Linked DNA regions of Drosophila melanogaster. Each later gene encodes a partner of the first gene's protein in a complex. Each region holds a gene or a part of one and is shown on either strand. Other genes may lie near its edges.

Evidence for each region.
Region 2: Sf3b3 (region 1) and Sf3b6 share a complex: the UniProt entries of both Drosophila melanogaster proteins name them as parts of the splicing factor SF3B complex.

The regions. Positions count from the first base shown.
Region 1 is NT_037436.4:827,178-835,414, forward strand, and holds the start of Sf3b3 (splicing factor 3b subunit 3), read right to left. Parts: upstream 6,209-8,237; 5' UTR 6,083-6,208; intron 6,033-6,082; exon of another isoform or gene 5,885-6,032; intron 5,799-5,884; 5' UTR 5,764-5,798; coding exon 5,538-5,763; intron 5,463-5,537; exon of another isoform or gene 5,310-5,462; intron 5,231-5,309; coding exon 4,865-5,230; intron 4,832-4,864; exon of another isoform or gene 4,693-4,831; intron 4,614-4,692; coding exon 4,139-4,613; intron 4,066-4,138; coding exon 3,731-4,065; intron 3,552-3,730; coding exon of another isoform or gene 3,544-3,551; exon of another isoform or gene 3,445-3,543; intron 3,335-3,444; exon of another isoform or gene 3,260-3,334; intron 3,165-3,259; coding exon 2,857-3,164; intron 2,816-2,856; exon of another isoform or gene 2,675-2,815; coding exon 701-2,674; 3' UTR 700-700; intron 667-699; exon of another isoform or gene 587-666; intron 521-586; 3' UTR 469-520; intron 444-468; exon of another isoform or gene 360-443; intron 293-359; 3' UTR 246-292; intron 207-245; exon of another isoform or gene 135-206; intron 60-134; 3' UTR 5-59; and 1 more. Other genes in the region: CG42553 (uncharacterized protein), read left to right, coding at 7,000-7,158, 7,215-7,541, 7,602-8,153, 8,210-8,237. UniProt on the Drosophila melanogaster protein: Involved in pre-mRNA splicing as a component of the splicing factor SF3B complex, a constituent of the spliceosome. SF3B complex is required for 'A' complex assembly formed by the stable binding of U2 snRNP to the branchpoint sequence (BPS) in pre-mRNA.
Region 2 is NT_037436.4:6,191,613-6,195,233, reverse strand, and holds Sf3b6 (splicing factor 3b subunit 6), read left to right. Parts: upstream 1-2,054; 5' UTR 2,055-2,251; coding exon 2,252-2,269; intron 2,270-2,339; coding exon 2,340-2,458; intron 2,459-2,524; coding exon 2,525-2,753; 3' UTR 2,754-3,110; downstream 3,111-3,621. Other genes in the region: Tnpo (transportin), read right to left, coding at 1-261, 345-1,016, 1,084-1,182; CG7386 (uncharacterized protein), read right to left, coding at 3,374-3,621. UniProt on the Drosophila melanogaster protein: Involved in pre-mRNA splicing as a component of the splicing factor SF3B complex. SF3B complex is required for 'A' complex assembly formed by the stable binding of U2 snRNP to the branchpoint sequence (BPS) in pre-mRNA.

The DNA.
Region 1 (8,237 bases):
GTACCTTGAAAGTGTTCCTAATGTAATGGTCTAATGGTCATTGGAATTTTCCGATTAAACTGCAAAGAAAGCATCAATTTACTAATCGATCCAGTAATTATCATAAATAAGTATTGAAATTTTTAATTTTAAAAACATTCTCAGTTACTAATTTACAATCAAATCATTTCATTAGTCTAACATATGTAAAATAACATCATTGTTTAACTCAACGAAAATGTGGCTTAATCGTTACAATTTCTTACCTTTAAAACGTTTTAGGTGCAGCGTTTGTTGGTTTTGCCCACGAAAACTGCAATAGAAAGAGAAATACAAAATTAATAACATTTCTTTGCTTTTCAATCAATAAACGCTTGAATTTGTTATCAGAAAAACATAACTTTACACTAATCAAGGCATTTCATAGGTGTCCCAAGGTAAAACTCGAAAATCATCATTGAAAACAACTATAAATAGAAACCAACTTACCTAGTTAAAAAAGAAAAGTTTCCATGATATTGAAGTGTTCCTTTGCTGGCATCTGCAAAATATAAACAATTGTTAGCTTTCTGTTCAATAATCATAAAAGACTAAATTCAGCAAAGTATTTATCAGATATTGACGTTTACGCTAATCAAGGCATTTCATAGGTGTCCCAAGGTAAAATAGCTATGTCATCACAAAAACCTATGTCCCATAGGCATATCGATTCCAACTCACCTTAGAAGGCGTATCGCGTGCGAATATCCTCCAGTTTCTTGCAGATCTGATTGGGAGTGCGGAACATGTCGCCAGCTATGCTCTTCTGCTTGGCTGCCTCAATGGACAGATACTGCTCGCAGAGATCGCCGTCGAGTACGTTTTTGACCGGATAATACGAGCTCCTGTAGCTGAGATGGTCGCGTCCACAGAGTGGAGGATTCTCATTGCGCATGTGCATCTCCAGATGTTGGAAGAAGTCGTAGTCCTCGCGACTGGTGAACGGAACAAATGCTCCAACAGTGCCACTTAGCGTGGCGTATATAAGGGCTTCCGATCCTCCAGGAATTAGCGTTGCCTTCTGCAGCGACATGATTATCTCGCCCACATGGAAGGAGCAAATGTTCTCCGACTTCTGTGAAGCACCTGACAGCAGGCCACGATCCCACAGAGACTTGGTGCCCGTTGGATCCTCGTCCACATCGTCCGTTACGGAGTGGGGCAATCGCTGAATGCTCAGGTTGCCAAACTTATCGGCTATGGCTATGGTATCATAGTCCAGCAAGGTGGTGGCCGTCACCCATCGAGGATGCGTGTCATCGGCAAATATAATCAGCTGGTTCTCCGCGCGACGATAGCGTATGAAAAATACTGATTCCTGAACATCCGACACGTAAACACGATGACCCATGGCTTGGATATTGACAATCTGATAGGGAATGTGCTTGTTCTCGCATTTGCGCAGCATTTTCTTCTTGCCGAAATCGTAGATTCGCAACATTCGACCGCAGCCAGCTAGTAGACGACCCTGGAAGCCACACAGGGCTCCAGGAATCTCGTCAATGTCCGTGCGGTGCATGAATTCCAGACTGGAGCAAGTGGGATCTATTTTGTAGATATCTATGCAGCCGCCTTGCGAAATCCTGGGATTCAGCTGCAGATCCTTGGCGATTCCCACGGCCAGGTAGTACCGGCCATCAGCCGCTATGGAGAACTTCAGCATGGCCATCGACATAATGGCCTCGTTTTGGGTGAGCGGCACACTAAACATCGTCTGACCATGCATTGCGTCCAGGCAACGGATTTGCGAGGCCCAAAGACCCAGTCCTGCTTTGGGCGACGAAAACACGTCCTCGGGAAGGACTTCGTTGATGAAAGCATTGGCCATTTCGCGGGCCAACTCCCTTTCCTCATCGCCAGCTGCACTGCGCATCTCCTCCGCCATTTGCTCCTTTCGGGCACTCTTCGTATCCTCTGTGTAGGCGTTGTGATCGGTTTCGGCAATTAGCATGCGTCCCGTATCCGGATGGATTACAAAGGTACGTGGAGTGTACTGCAAGGGGAACGCTACTTGATTGAAGACGGCTCCCAGTTTCTCCAGGGCCAAGATCCTCAAGGTGTTGGTGGATATAGCCACGATACCTTCGCTGCACTGCTCGCTCGAGAAGCCAGAAGCATACTCAAGGGTTTCATAAGACAGAGGCGTCAAATGGAATCGATTTTGGTGGTAGTACGACAGCCAGGTTCGACTGGACATGGCCAGCACCGCTTCGGATCCCTGCATCTTGATCCGGAAGAGCTTTACGGGTCGGGAACCCAAATATCTCGTTCGGGTGTCTGCCAAATCTCCGGAAACAGGATCGAGCACAGTTCTCAGCAGGACACCGTTGCTCAAGCCAATGTTTAGGTAAATGGTTCCCTTATTGTTGCCACTGCGCTGAGCGGGAGCATCGTCATCCAAACCTCCCTGAGTCGTGCTCTCCGTGTGACCCATTTCGACCAGGCAAAGGGATTCGGCTGGCGAAGGCAGGGCCTGCATGGAGCAGGGAGTGAGACAGTTGTTGGGATCCAGCGATAAGATGCGCACTGTATTATCCGCCAGGCCGACGGCCAAGAACCAGGATCTCTGCTCGCCCTCCGGAACAGTTCCCAAGGCCATGCACATAATCTCAGCAGGCATCTCGGAACGTTCCGTGTACTCGTTCAGCTCCCCAGTCTGCAAGCATAAAATGTATTCATTAGTTGTGAAGTTAAGTAAACGAGGATAAGGCTTTTGGTTGATTTTGAAGCTCAGCACTGCAGGACACATAGTGTCTCAACATGATTGTTCTTTTCGTGTTTTTGTCATCAGAGCAAGAAGTCAACAGTTGAGTGTAATATAGTAGTAGAATTGCTTACCGGATCCATTTCGAAGTAGACCAACTCCCTGCCCGACAAGGTGATGACCACCTGGCGCTGATTCACGGCGCACTTGGTAATGGACTTCTTGCCCGGAGCCTTCCACTCGTTCACACGCTTGTCGGATCGGATATGTCGAATGCCATCGGGGTAAACCTGAACCAGCGCATCATCGCCCAGGGCGGCACAACAGAGCGTGGGCGTGGTGCCCAGGAAACCGCTGTCCGTGACTTCCTCGACGGTTTCGCCAATGCTCAAAACCAGGGTGGCATTCACGAAGGACACGATGATATAGGCATCAAACTCGTCTAAAAAATAGGGGAGCAAAACAATACTTGGAACGTGAGTACTTCAGTTTGAATCGAGCAAGCGAAAAAGATCTGCGTATCACACAAGACATTGAATAATCAGTTTATCAAGTTGTAATCAATGGATAATTCAGCTGAAACACGGTTGATAAATATCGCATCATGTTCAATGTCCGACTGGCTTAAATATAGTTAGCTTTTGTTCTGTTTTCATTGGTATAGTAGCAGTGGTAGTTGTAGTATCTGTTTGACTTATGAGCTGCAGTAAATGTTGCCTTACCTATCGCTTCACAAAAGACAATTTAAAATTACACAAACGAGAGAAATTCTCTTTAATCGCTTGTCTTTTTCGATAGTTCACACATATTGCCGTCTGTGTTTAAGCGCCTGAAATAAGAGAGAACTGGTGGTTGATAACTTGTGGGACTTGTTTGGAATCGTGCGTAAAGCTAGGTGTAATCTATATCTCGATCTGTATCAATGCACCAGTTGAGTTATTAGCCACGTTTCAGTCTTAGTCTAATCTTAGCTTAGGAATCATGATTAATGCCCGCAGACACACTCACCATCAGCTCGTTTCTTCACAGTCCAAACCGCATTGGGATTACCAGGCAGTTCGGAAACGGCCATCTCGGACACCTCGAGGCCGTGGCGCAGCACCCGCAGAGTGGAACGCGGTCCTCGTCCGCAAAGAACGTACAGTTGCGGTGTGTCCTCGTTGGCCAGATCAGCCACCTGGGAGGTGATGATCGGTGCGAAAGAGGGCAGTTCATCCACAAGCACCAGGTTCTTTAGGGCACGTGGCGCAAAGAAGAAGGTTTCACCCTCCTCCAAAGGCATGGCCGAACTGAACTCCGGCTCGTCATCGTCGTCACCCAGATGAGCGATTTGATATAGATAGCTGAGGGTTACACAAATACCTCAATTAGTACCCATTCATATTATTCTCAAATGAATGATTTGTAGATACTCACTGGTTGCCAAACTCGCTGGCCACGAACAGGAAACCCGTCTTTAGCACGCACATGGCAGTTGCCGGCGGCACTGTATCGAAGTACTTTAGCTTGATCTCGGAGACCACATCATCGTCCGTTTCCAGGGTGATCTTAAAGATGTCTCCCTGCTCGGTCTGCAGCAGGAAGAAGTACATGCTCTTGGTGCGATGTGTGGCCGAGCAGATGAAGATCATACCACGTTCGGGATCATCCAGATCGTTTCTCCTGCGCGGAATGGGACAGCGGATATCGTGCTGATCGCCGAGATTCTTGTACGTTAGGTAGTTCTCCGAGCAGATCAGCACGCCCGAAGGACCATCGTTGCCCCCAGGCACGGATACCAAGAAATTGGCGTGCTCTTCCAAGGGCTCCGAGTATTTGCGAACCACGTGGTTTAAGCCGAGATCCAACTCGTAGAAAGTCAGCGTTTGCTGAGTGCGCTGGGCGGCGTCACCTGGAACAAATAGATGCGACACTGATTAGTTACAGGACTATAGCATTGTACTATCAAAATGTTATCAATTGAGATTAGGAAGTGTGGGTCACAAATCAGTGAAGTGTGGCTAGGCAATTACAGCAACACCAATGGTTCAGTGATCACGATTTATCTGGCACTAAGTACAGTCAGTGTTCGTGGTGTGGATCCACTAAACCTGTGAATTAAAGCGCCTTCTAGGGTCTACACGCCACCTAGTTGATGCTTACCCGATGGATCCATGTCGGCCTCTTCGTAGTCGATCTCTAGGCAGGCGAACATGGGATTATCGAAGCCCACATCCACGCCGACCATGTGGTATGTCAGTGTATTCGATTTGTGGGCCTCCAGGGGCGATGAGATCGTGAGGCGAGCCTGCGTGTCCCGGTTCATGATGTAGGCCAGCTTTTGCTTCTCCACGGCGCCAATCATCACGGCTCTTCCTTTAGGATCGATGGCAAAGTATTGCCCAGGCACAATCCTGCGACATCCCGACTTTCCGAACGTCTCCTGGTGCACTTTTTCAAGAGCATTCTTGGAGGGATTGTACTCGAGGATCACGATGCGTCCCGAGTCCGAGCCCACAACTATGTAATCTGCAAAGCAAGGTAACGATATTCGAGATTAGGGTCATACATTTAACACTTTCTAATGACTATAATGATATTTTATTGACTTTGTAACTCGAAGTTTCAATTCGCCACTCCGTTGAGTTGGTTTATGGCAAATGCGACGTCAAGTCTTTCGGTTTCTCTCGCACTTAGACGCGTTCAAAGGTCTTACTGGGGTCAACTAGCCGTCTGTTGCCTCAATAGGGATTTGTGCGACTTACATAGATTATATAGGAGCAATACATTACTCCCAATTGATGGTACAAAACTAAATTACAATTGAAAGACTCACCTTTAGTGCCGCCCGTCAGTCGAAAGGCCATCAGGGCGCGAACGCATCCGAATATCTCCGTGGAGAGCAGGGTGTGCACCTTGCCGGTGTTGGAGTCCGGACGCAGTAGCTCCAGCGACTTGCCACGCGACAGGAGGACCTCCTGCTGCTTGCCGCCGGAGAAGTTGCCGTGGACCGCGTGGGTCACGCCGGTGGCCTTCTGCAGGGTCAGGTTGTACAGATACATGGTGGAGCACTACACTCTTTCACTTTTGTCCACGACTGCAAGAGAAGCAATGTTGAGGTTAGGTACAGTTGCAGACAAGGGAAAAAGTCACGTGAATGGCGGTGTATTTTTTTTTTTGTGAATTTGTACTACTTTGAAAACCATGGCCACAGTATGGAAAGTCGTGTCGCCTAACGATGCTAGTAAGCAGCATTTAATTCTTAGTTTAGCACGCTTCAAATGCGACCAAAGCACAGACATTTCTGATTTCTGGAGATACTTCGTGCGGAAAGCGCTTAAATAATAGTAGATATCAGTGCTAGCACGTGTATTTGTTTACCTTCGGCTGGTTAAATGGATGAATTAGCACATTTCACCAGCGATGCCTTTGGATTCGAATTTTCCTGATTACTCAGAACTCTTCATTTTCACATCTGCTCTGTTCGCCGACAAAAAGTAAAAGAACTATAAAAGTAAAAATGGTGGTGCATAAAATGTGGCTTGACTTATCGATAGTGCGCGGCCGTCGATTTTCCTATCGATAATAGGCCCGGTTCAGACTGATTATAAATTAAATAATTATTTTACTGGAAATTGTTGCTGCAGAAATCATAAGTTTCCTAAAAATCCTGGTCAAGATATATCGAATTTATCCTTTATTAAATATACCACATTTAAATATTCGGAAATTGCCATGGGCCAATCCCAGTTCCACATACCAAAAACTGCCTCAAAAGCTAAACATATAATATGCAATTTTCTGTGAAAAAATGGAAAATTTCAAGGATCTGTAAAAATATGTACTGGATCAATCGTTTTATCTTTCTTTAACTTAAAAAATTTTTATCATGGGCTTAAATGAAAACAAAACCACTCACCGAATTGTGGCTAAAGGGCTGGGCTCAATACTATGCTATTAAGGTATGATTAAGGAGAAAACTTTAAAGGTATTTAAAAAAAATAAATAGATCAGTCCCCAACTATTTTTTTCTGTTTATTCGATCTCTACTTGAGTATATTTTTACGCGGCGTTGGCTCATGTTATTAGACTAATTAGAAAAATCATCAATTATTACTTAGTAAACTAGGTTTGTTGACTATCGATATACCAACTTCAGATTCGCGACATCTCTAATCAGTCATGGAATTGTCAGTGTTGTAAAACCTGAAATGTCATTGCATCTTTGCTTCTTCAAAACAGCTGACAGCTAAAAACAAATATTTCGTGATTTTTGTAAATATTGCTAACGTTTTAATATGGAGGAGCAAGAGGATCGAGAAAAGCTCTACGAAGAAGCCCACAAGAAAGTAAAACTGGGCGAGGAGCTGAAGAAAGCGCTGAAAGACTTCGAAGATTTGCCTGGTGTCAGCAAAGTACAGCGAAAAATTCAGCAAGAGCTCAAATTTCTAAATAAGGTTTGTTTGCCTATTTTTCATGATAAAAACATTGAGTAAAAGCATTTTCCTTCAAGGTGATTACTACAAGGTCCGTAAAGGAACACCACATAACCAGCAGTAACTTTGTTTACTACGATTTTCTCATTAAAACTCTGCGTTTGCAACAAGGAGTAGTCGACATCAATGCCGTATTCCGCCTGGAGTCTAGGGATAGTCCCCTGAGAGTCGACATCGTGGCCAACAATGGACTCAAGTGGGTGAAGGTGATAGCCAGGAACTCGAAGTCCGTCGAGGACGCGGCCAGGGGATGTGTCAGCATCGGAGCCCGAAGTGTCATCGACCAGGCGGAGGATTATCTGGAGGCCAGCGAACTTAGTTTCTGCATGTTCCAGAGGCCGAAGGTAATGCCTAATAGTATGCTACCCTAGACAGCATTCATCATCTGATATACTGCCTTTTAGATAGTATTCTACTTCTCCAACAAAATCGAGGACTCCCTGCATGAAGAGCTAATGGAAATGGGCGTACAAACTGCTTCCCTGGACTCACCAGACACCGACTTGGATATGTACGCCACGACGTCGAACGAACTGAATCTAGATGTGACCACATTGCTGGCCTACGTTAGTGCGCTCACCAACGGATCCGCCAATTGGGTCTACAAGGAACCTCTGCTCACCGAACAGGCGGAAAGGGAAAGAGCCTCGCCGCTAAAACCGCTCCTCGAGAAAATCCTAGAGGGAAAAACCTTGGTCTGCTGCCAGTTAGCCTACGATGCCTTCCAGAGTATTTTGGATATTGTAGGCGGCGAGGGCGAACGGAAGCGAGCCGAGGAACTGATGAAACGGGTCACCGTTTATCCGGATGTGGAAACAATACCCGAAGAATTCTCCCACATACGTTTCACTGCCAACGTAAACGAGCGAAGTCTGAAAATCTTTAGTTTCGGCATGGCCAGGCAAATTTTCACTGTGACTTCGAATAAGGCCTTTGTGAGATCAGCTAAGATGCAGGTATGCATGAATGGAAAATGTGATTTTGTCCTGTCTTTAATGTCTGTGCTTTACAGGGTATCAATGTGCCTGTTTTTGTACACG
Region 2 (3,621 bases), 5.4 Mb from region 1:
TGTGTGTGCACGGGACTTGTGGAAACGCGGGCGGATATCCTCTTCTCGATCGGGCACCATGTCATCCTCCTCAACGTTTCCCTTGAGGAGAATTATGTCGACCTCTGAGTACCGCATGCCTCGTACAAGAACTGGCGCTAATTGAGCAAGATAAGGGGCAAGCACGTCCTTGCAGATGCTTTGCTCGGCCAGTGAAAGCCAGAACTCGGATGCTTCCAGGGCCACACCCTCATCGGTGTCCTGGGTGCGCAACAGCATGTACTAAAATTCGTTAAATAAGATATTTAAACAAAAATTTATCAGAATAATTATTATTAATTATATATTTTATTTTAAAGTTATACCTCAATAATCTGCGACATGTGCGGCATCAGACGGTCCATTCGCACCTCCAGCAGCATGACCAATCCGTGGCACACGTTTTTGCGCACCTCGTGGTCCTCATCTGATGACAGGTGAAAGAGGTTCTCAATGAAGCTGTCTATGTTTAGCATCAGAGCCTGTGATCTGTTGATGATGAACTGGTTGATGCAGGCAATGGCGTGGGAGCGGATCTTTGGACTGCTGTGCTTGAAGTACTCCAGGAACTTTGGAATCATTATGTTTAATGGCCTGTTGAGCGCTGCGGAATCCAAAATCTCGGCAGAGTCCTCGCAAATTTTCTGCAGGGCACTGAATGCGCCTTCGCACACATTATAGTCCTGGTTGTCGAGCATTTCGCAGAGAGATGGAAGCAGCTGCGGCCAGTTGTGCAGACCGCCATTGCTGGCGATGGTGGTAATCAGGATGCCCACGGTGGCACGGATCAGGGGCGAAGCGTCGCCCACTGCCTGCAGGCACTCGTGTTTGATATACTCCACGATCTCCGGCTGCAGAGTGGTGCCGTGCATGCGGATGTTGTTCTTGAGGATTAGGCCGCTGAGTGATCTCGTGGGCTCGTCCTCTGTCTTCAGTTTCGTCAGCACATAGATAAGATAGTTGTTGAAGTCGGGGTAGCGATTGAATTCCTCCAGTTTCTGTTGAGAAGGACACAATATGTGCATGCAGTTCGAGGAACCGTACCTGGTAGAAGTTATTACTCACCATCTGTACGGCCATTTGAGTGGCTGTGTCCGGTGACTGCGACTCCTTGAGGATCGCTATGATCTGCTGCAGACCTTCTCCCTGTGGTTCCCACGTCATTTTGCTGCTGCAAGGGAAGATCGCAAGGGTTTTAGGTTTGATTAGTGAATTCGGAATTAGAAATTAGGGTTAATGGCCTCGCAAAGGGTAGCAAATGGGGGAGAAAGAGAGAGCACGAGAGACACTCTGTTCGAGGCCACTCACGCACACCAGGGCATTTTGCACCCACACCCGCAAACAGACATCTGCTGTTGTGAAATTTACGTTTTCCGTTCGATGTTTCCTTGGCACTTAATGGTTTTACGGCGGAAGGCGGGAGTTGAAAGCCCTGCCCCGAGAGTAACGTGCGATTTTCTGCCCACAACCCCAGACAAAAAAAAACACACGAATAGAACTCGCCTGCCTCCGCCATATTTCGTGACATCGGGCGTGCGGTTGAAAACGCTTTTCCGAGATAAGTTCTGCGTTGTCCGCATACCCCCTACTTACCTTTGGGTGTTGGCTGTGCTTTAAAACTATTTTAGTTGGAATTTTCTTAAGATTTTGCGTAAATTGTCTCTTTTTTCACCTTTTCTTTGCACAATTAGCGAGATGTATACAGTGTGACCGTGCAAGAGAGAGGGAGTATGCTATTTTTTATTAGAGATGGCAACGTGTCGTCACGGGTTTTAAAATTATATTTAATGTAGTTGATTTTTTAATTTATTGTGCTTAATTTAATATTTTTAAGCAGCTTAAAATGTTTGAATCACTCTGATATATAATTTCCGAACAACAAATTATTTTATTGCCAAAATGAAAAAAAATGAATATTAAATCAAATTTTGCAGTCCAAAGCTGCTCCGATGTAACGAACTTCCTCTCACATATGTATCTAAGTGCTGCTGCACGGTCACACTCGATACGGCTCTCGAAATGCGTCCACACTCTCGCCATTTAGAGTGCCCACATTCGCCACCCTGTTCAATTTTGTTTGGGTTTGAGGCCAGACAGAGGAGTCATTAATTTTAAACAAAGGACCACGCTTCAGGACATTCATCCCGGGTCAGACAAAGCCGCCACACACTTTCCTCGAGGCCGAGTGAAAGTTTCTCGCCTTGTCGCCGCTTAACATCCGAAGCGACCGGACATGAACAAGCGCAACCATGTGAGCAGAAAACCTACGGCTCCACACACAAAGCAAATGTATTGAGTGAAAAGTGCTATTTCTTTTGCAGATCCGCCTGCCGCCAGAGGTGAATCGGCTATTGTACGTGCGGAACCTGCCGTACAAAATCACCTCGGACGAGATGTACGACATATTCGGCAAATTTGGAGCCATTCGACAGATACGCGTGTAAGATTGAAGATGATAATGCTATTCGCCGTGAATCCTCTCAATCAATTTGTGTATCTTTTGCAGAGGCAACACTCCGGAAACGCGTGGCACCGCCTTTGTCGTCTACGAGGACATTTTCGATGCCAAGAACGCCTGTGACCATTTATCGGGTTTTAATGTGTGCAATCGCTATCTGGTGGTGCTCTACTACCAATCCAACAAGGCCTTCAAGCGCGTGGACATGGACAAGAAACAGGAGGAACTGAACAACATTAAGGCCAAGTACAATCTGAAGACGCCTGAAGCTCCTTAGAACCCACACTTGGTGCGGCAGGCGGTGATGGGGCATAGCCAGACATTGGGCCCCACCAGATGACGCCCCCACTTCCATCGACCATTTTCCATTGTTTAGGGAACTTCTTGCTCTGCTTATGTGTATACCAAATTTTTGCTATCTACTTGTAGATTTTTTTGATCGCATTTTGTATCATTTGAATCTAATCATTATCATCCATCCATCACTCCATCTATCATATAAACGGCCGGATATCGCGGAACGCAGACATTTGCGCCCGGTTCCGACTGTTTGCAATCATTTGACGACATTAAGACACTCTCTCATCAAAATAACAAGCAAGTGAAAGTAAAAATAAAAAAAAATTGAAAAACTAGAATCGTTTGTTTCGATTTATGACCAATTTTTTTTAAAACTAGTTTTAGTCCAAAACCATTTGTAGTTATTCTAAAGTGTGTCATTTGGGTCAAGTTTATTTAACAACTTAGAAATAGGATAACAAGTAATAGTTAAATATTAACCAACAATAAAAATTCCCACTATTATGGGAAGTCTTTTGCCCTATGTAATCGTAAACTATTCTGCGATTAGGGTTCCTCCTTAAGGTCAGGACCAGTTTGGCTAGCTGCCGCTGCCTATTACTTTTCGTATGTGTCTTGCTGCTTCTCCAGTGCCAGTTGGTTCTTCAAATCCTTGAGCTCCTTCTTGGCGACCTTCGCAATTTCCTGCCGTAGTGCCTCAACCTTTTGTTTACGGTCATTTCTCTCCCCCAGAGGCTTCGCCGGCTTTTCGTCATGGACTTTTTGGTGTCGGATGAGCGCCGCTACCTGGCGAAAGCGATTGCCACACGTCTTACACTCGAAGGGCTTTTCGCCAGTGTGTATCC